Linked DNA regions of Drosophila melanogaster. The protein of the gene in region 2 interacts with the protein of the main gene of each other region in a biochemical or structural test. Each region holds a gene or a part of one and is shown on either strand. Other genes may lie near its edges. The genes, in order: beat-VI and side-II.

Region 1 (5,192 bases), on a different chromosome or scaffold from region 2:
GCAGTTTACTTTTCCTGCACCCTTCCCAAAGGACTCGGAAATCAGCAAAACGGAGTTGAAATAATGTAGTAAATTTAAGGATGCAAAGAAAAATGTAATATCCGAGAACATTATGGCCCCGAATTTGTTGGCCGTATGTGTGCGGTTTGGAATCTAATTTCGTTCTGGAATAGTAACATTCACTAAAGTGCATTTTATACTCTTTTCTATGTACATCTCTATTTATATCAAATAACCTACAAATTTTGCAATGTAGCAAACAGCAAATGGAATACATTTACATTTATCTTATTTTCATTTCGATATTTTCGCTGAAATTCTGTCAATGTTTACTATTAAATTTTATTTCTGATGTGGTATTAAAATATAATTTGACCATGTCATTTTATTTTAATAAAGAGAGTATTACTTTTATATATCATCTTAAAGTCCGCAGATATTAGCTTTCAGTTTAATTTATTTTACTCCATTTGCCACCTGTCTGCAATTTCTTCAGCTGATCCCCCGTTCGATTTTTCTACCTAGTGCTGCCAACATTCTGCCATCTAAGCCATCCTCTTGGCCCGAGCTGAAATAACCGTTTCAACTTTGACTTTGGTGCTCGAACACGATTCCTATATGGGTTTGGTGCTCTCAATCTGACAATCGCATTGGAAATGCGTGTGCGCCACGCTTTAATGCGAAATTCTGATTGCGCTCGAATGGCTTCATTTATTTTCGCCACCAAACGACCAGCAAACAAAATAAAAAAAAACAAGAAAAATTCAACAAGAAAACAAGCAAAAACGGCAAAGAAGAAAGCTGCGAAAAAAGCGCAAAGGAAAAACAAACCCGACAGTTGTACATAATATTTCACTTATGCATGTGCGCCCCCTCAGAGCCTGTGAGCAAAGTGAAATGAATGAACGAATAAACGAACGAATGAATGAGTGGCATGCGTAGCGCTAGGAAATTTGTTATAGCAATTTGAACTGTCAACAGAAAACCGAAAAAGTAAATTAAGAAACATTTGAAATTTAATTCACTTGCCAAGCCGAGTCCTTCCGGTGACTATTGCCCCTATGGGGCACACATAAGTGTATACTCGCTGCGGCTGCAGTACGTGTGTGTGTGTGTGTGTGTTTGGGTGTGAGCATGAGAGTGTGTGTGTGCTCGCATTAGAGCGTAGAGCTCGTGAGTGGCAGCATCATAGTCGCAGAGCATACCTGTCTGCCAGGTGACACCTCCGCCACTTGAGTAACGTAACACAGCAACGCCGGGAACAACTGACAGACCCAAAACACACATTTAACTCAGGAGCTCCAGCAACAGCACTGTGAAAAAAACTCGGGACATTCTACAAGACACACGAGAGTGACTTAAGAATGCAGAAGTTTGGCGCTTTAATTGCTGTTTAGATATTTGGTACACCCCAAACTAAAGATATGAAATATCTCTGAGCTTAATCTCATTAGTATTTCGGAATATTAATAATTGATTTTTATGTTATTTGAAATTTATGAGAAGTTTAGTTTTACCATTTTTAAATAGCCACATGTTACATACATCTTTCGGTTTTAAAGCTTGTTATTTTCCCTGTGCACAAACATTTGGAGACCTGCAAAATTAGGCGAGTGTCACGAATTTAAAATAACTTTTAATTCATTCTTGATGAACATATGCAAACGTTGTTGCCCCAGCCCGAGTGGCACACGGCGTATGAGTGCGGCTGGGAAAGAGCCCCCCCGTGCGAATGCGAACGGGAATGTGTGCGTGAGTGTGTGGTTGCCACGCCTCTCGAGTGCCACATAACTCGGGTTGAGCATAAACAACCGCACTCGCATAAATGTTCGTTAAACTCAACCCAACTGAGACAGAAATGCGGAGCCGAGAGCTCTATAGCTCCCCCTTTTGCCACCCACCTGGGCTACATAATTATTTAGTTTCCAGTTGGACGGGAGCCGTGCACACACATCTCGTACTCGTACTTGGGCAAATAGATGGGGGGATTCCCTGTCTTCGATTGTCATAAATCAACAAGGACCTACACGGCCCAGGATCGGTTGATGGGCCTACAAGGGGGCCATGGACCGGGCTGTCAACCGATTGTTGGCCGTTGGCATATGCTCGCTCCGCTGACCAAATGCCCAAGGCCTCTGACAGGTGCAAGTTTGAGCGACCCACTTAACGGAAAAATTCAAATTTCTGTTTGCACTTGCCGAACTTTCCAGTTCACTTGCCAGGGGAAATAAGCGAAAAGGTATATCCGGTACAGCTGATATAGCTGGTATAGCTGGCATTGCTGGTGGCAAAGTGAAAAGTTAGCGTAAATTATGCGCCAACGTGCGCGGCCCCAATAAAAATAGAAAGAAAAATTGGGAAAACAAGAACCCAGCGCAGAGAAAACAAAGAGCAGTGGCAGTGCATTGAACTGGTACCTTTGTATAGGATGTGATACGAACCTTATGGGAATGTTTCTGCTCTCACTACCACGTTGGCGGTAGTTGTTGTGGTTGCTGCTCCTTTCAAAGGATCCTGCCTGCCTGCCTACCAGCCAGCCAGCCGGTTTATGCTTTCTAATCCACGCACGTTTCGCTTTTAATATTTATTTTGCGCTTTTTCACACTTTGCACACTGAGACACACTCTCACTCACTCAGACATCAAAGGATAATCGGGCAGGTGGAGGATTCTCTGGTCTGGAGGTCTGCAGGGGTTCTTCTTCCGCTGATTATCGATGAACCCCACGCTCCGTTGATGCGGATGACGGAATTTGGATTACGGCTTGGTTACTGCTTTCGTTATGCACTGCGGGCGGCGCGCACAGTTCATCAATGCAAATTGCAAATTGCCAATGGAACCACGGAGCCGCGTTATCGGCGGGTTATCAGTGCCCACTAGCGGTGGGCATTTGGATTTCGGTCTCTTGTTTATATAATTTAAATACGTTTATGTTTCGTCTGCGAAATTTTCCAACTACTTATGGAACATTCGCATGGATATATATGTGCTGCACTCGGGCGGTGGACAAATGTTATTTAATTATTGTTGTTGTTTACTTTTGGGCGAAGGCAGCTTTTTCCCAGTGGGAGCGCTATAAACACCGTTACACTAACCGACCCGCACGAAGGACCTTTTTCAACTGATTCGCACTCGAAGTCGCGGCGGAACGAGGCAGCTCGACAAGCCGATGTTCTGTTTTCGGTTGACGGGCCAGAAAGCCGAGCTCGCATCCTGTCGGCTGTGTGTGGATCGCGAGCGCTTCGGCATTTTGTGGATCAAAACGATTGGGAAAAGGACCACAGGACCCTTTTGTGGATGCTGTGTGCCAAGTCCAAAGCGTTCCGCCTGATAAGAGGCTGCAACGCGTTTTTTCGCCCCGCGCGCATTGACAACAATTTATTTTTTGCACGTTACTCGCATTTAAATGTTTTTGCTTATTGTCTTCCGTCTCTCTCTCTCTCTCGCTGGAAATTTGTGTGTGTGTGCGCACTTTTTTAATCACTTAAAAATGTATGTGCCTTTTTTCGACACGTGCGTGTCAAAATGCTACCAAAGGGTTAAACGTCAAAAGAAATAAACAAGCGGCGGAATGGGTAAGAGGGCTAGAGGAAGACACACGCTGGCTGGCAATTTGTTGCCAAGTTTATTACAGTGACAAACAGGCCAGGTCCGAACGAACTGCACGCGCTAAAGACGTCACGCAGCGATATGCAATGCCAAAGTTAATGGCTATAATCCCGAACGAGTTGGACAAGTCAGGCGGAGGAGCCGTTTCTTTTTACGAGTGCGTAATAAGAAAGCCGGAGACGTGCCAACAGGACGTGATGGCACAAAAATCAGATGGAGGCTGGCTACACTCTACACCGGCTCTACTGGAGTTTTTAAATTTAAGCACGCAACCCATCCTAATCCCGACCAAATTAAAAACACTATCGTCCTCATCGTCGCCAAAAGAGAGAGCGGAACCGGAAATGAGAGAGAGCTAGAGAGAGAGAAGGAAGGAATGAGAGCGCTTGTTGGCCGGGCTAAGAGTCTCGTACTGACTAGGTTAGTAGGCCAGCCAACTTAAGCCAGCAATTAAATTCGAGCCCAGCTTGCAGGCTGCATATCGACTCGCAGGATGCCAGGATCCAAGGTGTTATCCTGCCATGCGTGTGCATTGCACTTGAACGGCTGCTTTAAAGGTGTGCCTTTGCCATTTGACACTCTCTTGAGCCCGGGAACTAAAGCTACAGACTTTGCTAAGTATTTTTCAATTAAAACGTTGGCGAAACTTGCACGCATGATAAGCACAAAAGTTTTTCATTGTCAGCGCCTAAAAGCATGCTACACAATGACAGCCCGGAAACTTTCGCCTTCCCGCATCGCAGGACCAAACCCGAAACCAGACAAGTCTCGACGGGCGCGCATCAATCTCTCGGGCCCCCATAGCATAACATAATGTTGATACAAGTATTCTTGCCACTTCCGATTCGCCTCTTTTTGTGCGACTGCCAGCGACACATATTTAAATCAGGATCGGGTGACTCGAATCGGCTTCCGGACGCTTAGGCTCTTGAAAAATTAACTTGGCCGCCAACTGGCGCCACTAAATAAGCACGATTCTGACTTTTAAAAAGATAGAGTGCACTAAGAAAATGTTTATGGTCCTAATAGCTATTAAATTTTAGGCTGCGTCCCTTCAACTCTGGGAATATAAAAGTTTATCCGAGAATTTAAAAGAAATGCTATACTTTTTGAGAAGGAAAATTAATTCAGTAAAACGCTGGAGTGGGCTAAACTAAATCTACATGTGTAAAACGACGCTGCATACAAACATTAAGAGTAAAAAAAAATAATTTCTTCGAATTTATACGTATGACCATAGAAACGCGTGTTTCCAGGGAATTTGAGGGACATTAACGCCGGCTTTTCTTCGAGTGTCGCTTTTGAAAAGCTTCTAATCTAAGTGCTATGGAATCATCAGCGATGTGTCGGCGACATGTGGGCAGGGATTGGGTGTCCTGGGGGATATTGGAGTGCGAAGTGACCCTGCCCAGCATTAAACTGGACAAAGCTGTGCCTGTTGCTGTCCTGCGTTCAGTATGCCTTTGCGTTTGGGCCTGCCTTTGCCGCCTGTCCCGTTTTCCTTGATGTGGATGAGGATGTGGCTGTGAGTGTGGATGTGGATGTGGATGTTTCTGTCTGCTGACATGAGCTGCAAAGTGCGGC
Region 2 (5,090 bases):
TTCCTTTTGGATAGTCTGTCATTAGGAAGATTGATTTCAAAAGCGCGGAAAATTTTCCCAATAGAACCTTTTGTTATGTGAAAATCAACCGCACGCAAAGCATTCTCATACTTCTTACTAAGCGAAGTGGAATTTCCGGAATTGTTCATTATGTTTTCCTTACATGAGCTGGTTTGCTAGTTATACTCTTTGCGAATAACTCATAATTTGTTTACGTTGAAACTTAAAATGCAATAAACTAATTTTGAGGCTATATTCTAAAATATCTTTATTTTAATACAACAAAAAAGTAAAATAAAATTTTCAAGACATTTGTACCATAGCTCAATTTAAAATTTTTGCTTGCTTGAAATACCGAAATTCAACAGAACAAAACTCAGGGCAAATGAAGATTTACATTTCAATTTGCATTAGTGCAAAAGGCAAAGAAAAACTTTCTTAATGCACGCATTAAAAAAGAATGATGAAATTGCATAAAACTTTAACTGAGTTGTAAGCAAAACTGCGGTGGGTTTGAAGGAGTGGGAGGGTAAAAAGTACATTAAAATCACATTAACCCGTCAACGGTGAAGTTTGGTTGGGTATGCTTAACTTTTGTTTATACGTTTCGGCTTAATGCCTTTTTGAAGTAAGCACACACTCGTGGATAATGTTATACGTACTCCTGATAAGCCATATATACAAATATTTATATATATATGCATGTAAACTAACCCCTAACTGCTTATCCCTTTGGGAAATGTATCTTTTCCCCTCTCCTATTTTCGTTGGACCCATTGCACGTAATTGACTTTTCGCCATAAATTTGTACTCCAACAAATGCAGGCGACATTCCACTCTGGCTTTTTCATTTCCCACTCCCTTGGCAGCTCAATTAGCCATTAAGCTTTTCGAAATTGTCAAAAATGTTTTAAGGGGGACAGTACGCCAGCATAGCCAATCAAAAATTCAGCCTACGCACTTGTATCTCTACATTTGTATCTCGGCATTTGTATCTGCCTGTGGCAGAGGACAACCAGAGCTTCGGTCAAAAACGCACACCCCTTCACCGTTATCTCCGTTTTTTGGGTTAGCCGTGCGTGTCCATTTAGACGCTTTGCATTGGCTCTGCTGGTGGCTCATTTGCATATTTTAATTGTCCAAAAACGAGAGGGAAATTCGTAAAATCACTGCAAGACTTAAATATTAACTTTGCCAGAAGTTTGTAATTTCTCACTCTTTCACTTCCATTTACTGAACTAATTTATTTATTTTCTCCGAAACTAAGCAGCAAATGTAAGCAAGTACTTCGTCTTGGAACAGGAGTGAAGCGAAAGGCCTGACGTTGTCACTTTTCTCTAATGAAAGACGGCATGCAAATTTAATAAACAGGCGAAAGGCATGAAATTTGGGTCCTCTTCAGGTGGGCTGCTCACAACTTTAGTTGGCCCGAGCTCGAGGAACTGCAACTTTAGGGCCAAGACAGTGACTGCCCTTCTTGGCAGTGTTCCGTTATTTGACAGAAAATATAATGAAATATCTAATTAAAATTAATTTTTATTTATTATCTTGACATAATTGTAACACTCATTTTTAACGAGCACTGTTTAAATTACACATTACTAGAGTACATTAAGAAAGTTCTGAGGCTTGAAACTTTTGAAGTCATTCCATTATTTCTTTAAAGCCAAATAAACATTTTATTTTATTTAATAAAACAACATTAAATTTACATATGAATTATTCTGCAAAGTGAAATTCAAATATTGGTAAAAAGTGTTGATATTTTATTTCTACAAGAAATTACCAGAAGCATTTACTTATCTTTTGGAAAGTCTTTTTATACATTTTATACCACTACTTTATTTTGCATTGCTAGACAAAGGAATGGAAATAAAAAATATGAGCAAGACGGAAAAAAAAAACAAGTAAATAAACTTTAGGCAAAAAGTTTTAGGCAACTTTCTGGCAGTCAGTTGGCGCATTTTAAGTTACGGCAATCGACCCAGTGGCGTAGCGGAAAAGAGGGGTATCACGGGGGAATATAAGTTGCTAGCGACGAGGGAAAAGTGAAGGGGCGGCAAAAGTGAAAAACTGGCGCATCGAGACAAGAGCTTAAACCGCGAATTCCACAGCTTCAACACTGAAAAAATCCCAGCCATATCTGCAGTAGCAAATAACCAAAACCTTACAACATTTTTTGAAAAATATATAAATTAAAAAAAGATAAAAAAGGCTAATTTTACTTCTAATTATTTTAGTTTTCTCACAGTCACTGTTAACTATATCAGTCCAACCAGACGAACAATTTTATAACGAGACATAATTTCTGTTTTAATTATACATTTACCACTTGAAAAAAGAACGTAAAAAGAATTATGTAACATGGCAAACTCACTTAATTAATTAGAAAGTTACCAGAAGCTTAATTTATCTGAGACGTTTTTCTCTAACTGCAGCAACTGCGAGGGCGGTTGGCAATTTCAACTTTAGTTAGTAAACTTTTGGGCAAAAAGTCACTCTTAAAGAGCAAAAAGTGAGCTCGTCCAACTTACCTGGCGAGCAATTTAAATTTGTCCCACGCAGGATAATCCTTTATTGCAGTTGTTGCTATTTGTGTTTGGTGGTGGTGGTGCTGCTGCTGCTGTTGCTTCTGTTGCTGCTTTTGTTGCTAATATTATTGTTGCTACTGTTGCTTGACTTTTGTCACGCACAAGAAGGCAGTGGGCCAAGCCAACTTTGAACTGACCACGTGACCATCAAAACACAAACAAACACACGGTAACGAGAATATACACACCGGGTCACACGAACAACAACAACACGGACACAGACACACACACACACACAACGAAGACACTGGGCCACTTGCAAATACTTAGTTGCTGGTTTTAATGTATGCCCGAAACGAGAACAGGGCAATTAAATCGCCTAAGAGGAGCCGTAGTGTAGCCTTTTGTGTGTGCAACAATATCAGCTGCTCGCTGAGTGAGTCGCATGATTTTATTTGCCTTTATTATTCGGAAAACCAACAGCACGCAAACCTCAATGCAGTTCAAAACCCTAACCAAATTGGCGCAGGTATATTCTAATTAGCTCTTATTGATTTCGATAATTGGTCCTTTCTGGCGGTACGAGAATTATATTTATTCGCGAAACAGCGCACCCGATTCTCAGCGTTTGTGGGTGGGTGTGAGTGTGTGTGCAGGACGAGACCCGATAACTTCGCTAATTCGATGGCTGCCGCAGCGAGCGTCAGCATCCCTGCAAAACCACGTTCAAAACAGTCCGACGGCTGAGCTTCAACTGAATCGGCCTGGCCAACTCAGAGCCCCATAAGCCCCACAAGCCCCACAGACCCCACCGTCCCCCGCCGGAAGTCGGCCGCCCGAAGCTCCGCTTCTCGGTAGCCGAACGCCGAGAACGAGCCCGATCCGAGCTGCAGGATAAGAGCCGAGCGCAGCAAAGGATAACACGAGCGCGAAACTCACGAGCATCTCGCAAGGCAGCTGAGTAAAGAGAACGCAATGAATGAACTGCTCGCTCTCTGTGTTAACAAAATTAAATTATTAAAAATGCAATCAAACGCTTTTGCTAATCTTTTTCAACTCACTTAAAAAGAGATTCATATCCTTAGCACAGATATAAATAAATAACAAAATGCCTTGTAAGCAAGCTCAAAAAATTATATATTATTTTCACCAACATAAGCTATGGAAATAATATTTATTATTTTTATCTACTGTTCACTCTATTTACTTTATTACTAACTTACTTTAGTAAGTTTTAAATAAAACCTTTTCCGAAATATGCAATAAGGTAAAATATTTTATCTATAATAAGTGTACTTATTGTCTCTATTATCAATCGCCTATATTTTGATCGGTAATTGTGAGATTTAAAAATTGGAGATAAGAAAACATGAGAATTTCATGCAGTAGCAGAATTCAAAGTTTCAAAACGAATAATCACAGAGCAAAAAGCAAAGAGTAAAACTCTTATACTTTCCTCAGTTTTGGTATAAAAGTGGTTCAATGCTTGGCTAAGCTTGGACTCCACCCACTATGTAAATTTGTAGTGTAAAATGTTGAACATTGTGTAAAATGTTGCCTTCTTTCAATTTAAAAAAGTTGTTGAACTAACATAATGCTGAAATTAAAATTAATAAGATAGTTAAATAATAACAAGGTAAAGAGGAAATATTTCAAGGAATTAATAGCTATCAAAAAGCAAAGCGAATACTGAATAATTGAACTCTGTCAAATAGTTGAAAGGAAAAGCGAGATTTGATTTTGATTTTTTTACTGTAGCTTTTACCTTTCCATCTGTCACCAATTACAGATCAAATCCAATCAAAACTAGGGACTACCAGCTAATTAACTACAGAGTTACCTCATCCTCTTGCGCCATGGCCTCCTTCCACCAGAGTTTTATCAACCTTCGTCGCATCGCTTTTAACTGCAATCACTCAGAGTAAAAATTGTCGTCAAGATACGTACAAACTCATACAAGACGCGTAAAAAATGGCAAGCGAAGGAGACAGACAGAAAATAAAACCCGAAAATGAATTGCAGCGAAATGTTCAAACACACTCTACGAAATTGACTTAAATAAATAAATGGCATAAAAACAAAGACAAAACACATGCGCAGCAAGAAAGTGAATCGAGAGGCAGGGGACAACGGCGTGTCATAGAAACAAAGTGCATTCCCAGTGGTGGAAAATTGGGTGGGAAATTCCTAAAGATGAGGCGGATTGGGGCGGGGCCGGTCCGGGCTTGGTTGTTGTGTTAGCTTGTTGCAACATTTTCATTTCATTTTATTCAGTTCAGTTCAGTTCAGTTCAGTCAATGCAATGCAATGCAACGTTCGAATGCAACAATTGCAAGTGCAGCAAAGACAACGCTTAGTAGCTCATCCATTTTCATTTGTATTAAGCAAAAGGCAAAGGACATGGCCAAGTTGCAGAGGAATCTCAATCTCTTCGCGTTTTCCGCTCGCGTGAAATAAAAGCGTTGGCATTACTCAGCAAATACTTGTTTGCTTGTTGCCTTGACAAAAAGTCTATAACCCACCCCCAATAACTACTCTTAAACCCCCCCCCCCCCAAAA

The links.
Region 1: the proteins of side-II (region 2) and beat-VI form a complex in vitro, tested with the Drosophila melanogaster proteins (one study listed by BioGRID).

The regions. Positions count from the first base shown.
Region 1 is NT_033777.3:28,416,117-28,421,308, reverse strand, and holds the start of beat-VI (beaten path VI), read right to left. Parts: upstream 3,102-5,192; 5' UTR 2,442-3,101; intron 1-2,441.
Region 2 is NT_033779.5:14,969,009-14,974,098, forward strand, and holds the start of side-II (sidestep II), read right to left. Parts: upstream 3,293-5,090; 5' UTR 2,535-3,292; intron 1-2,534.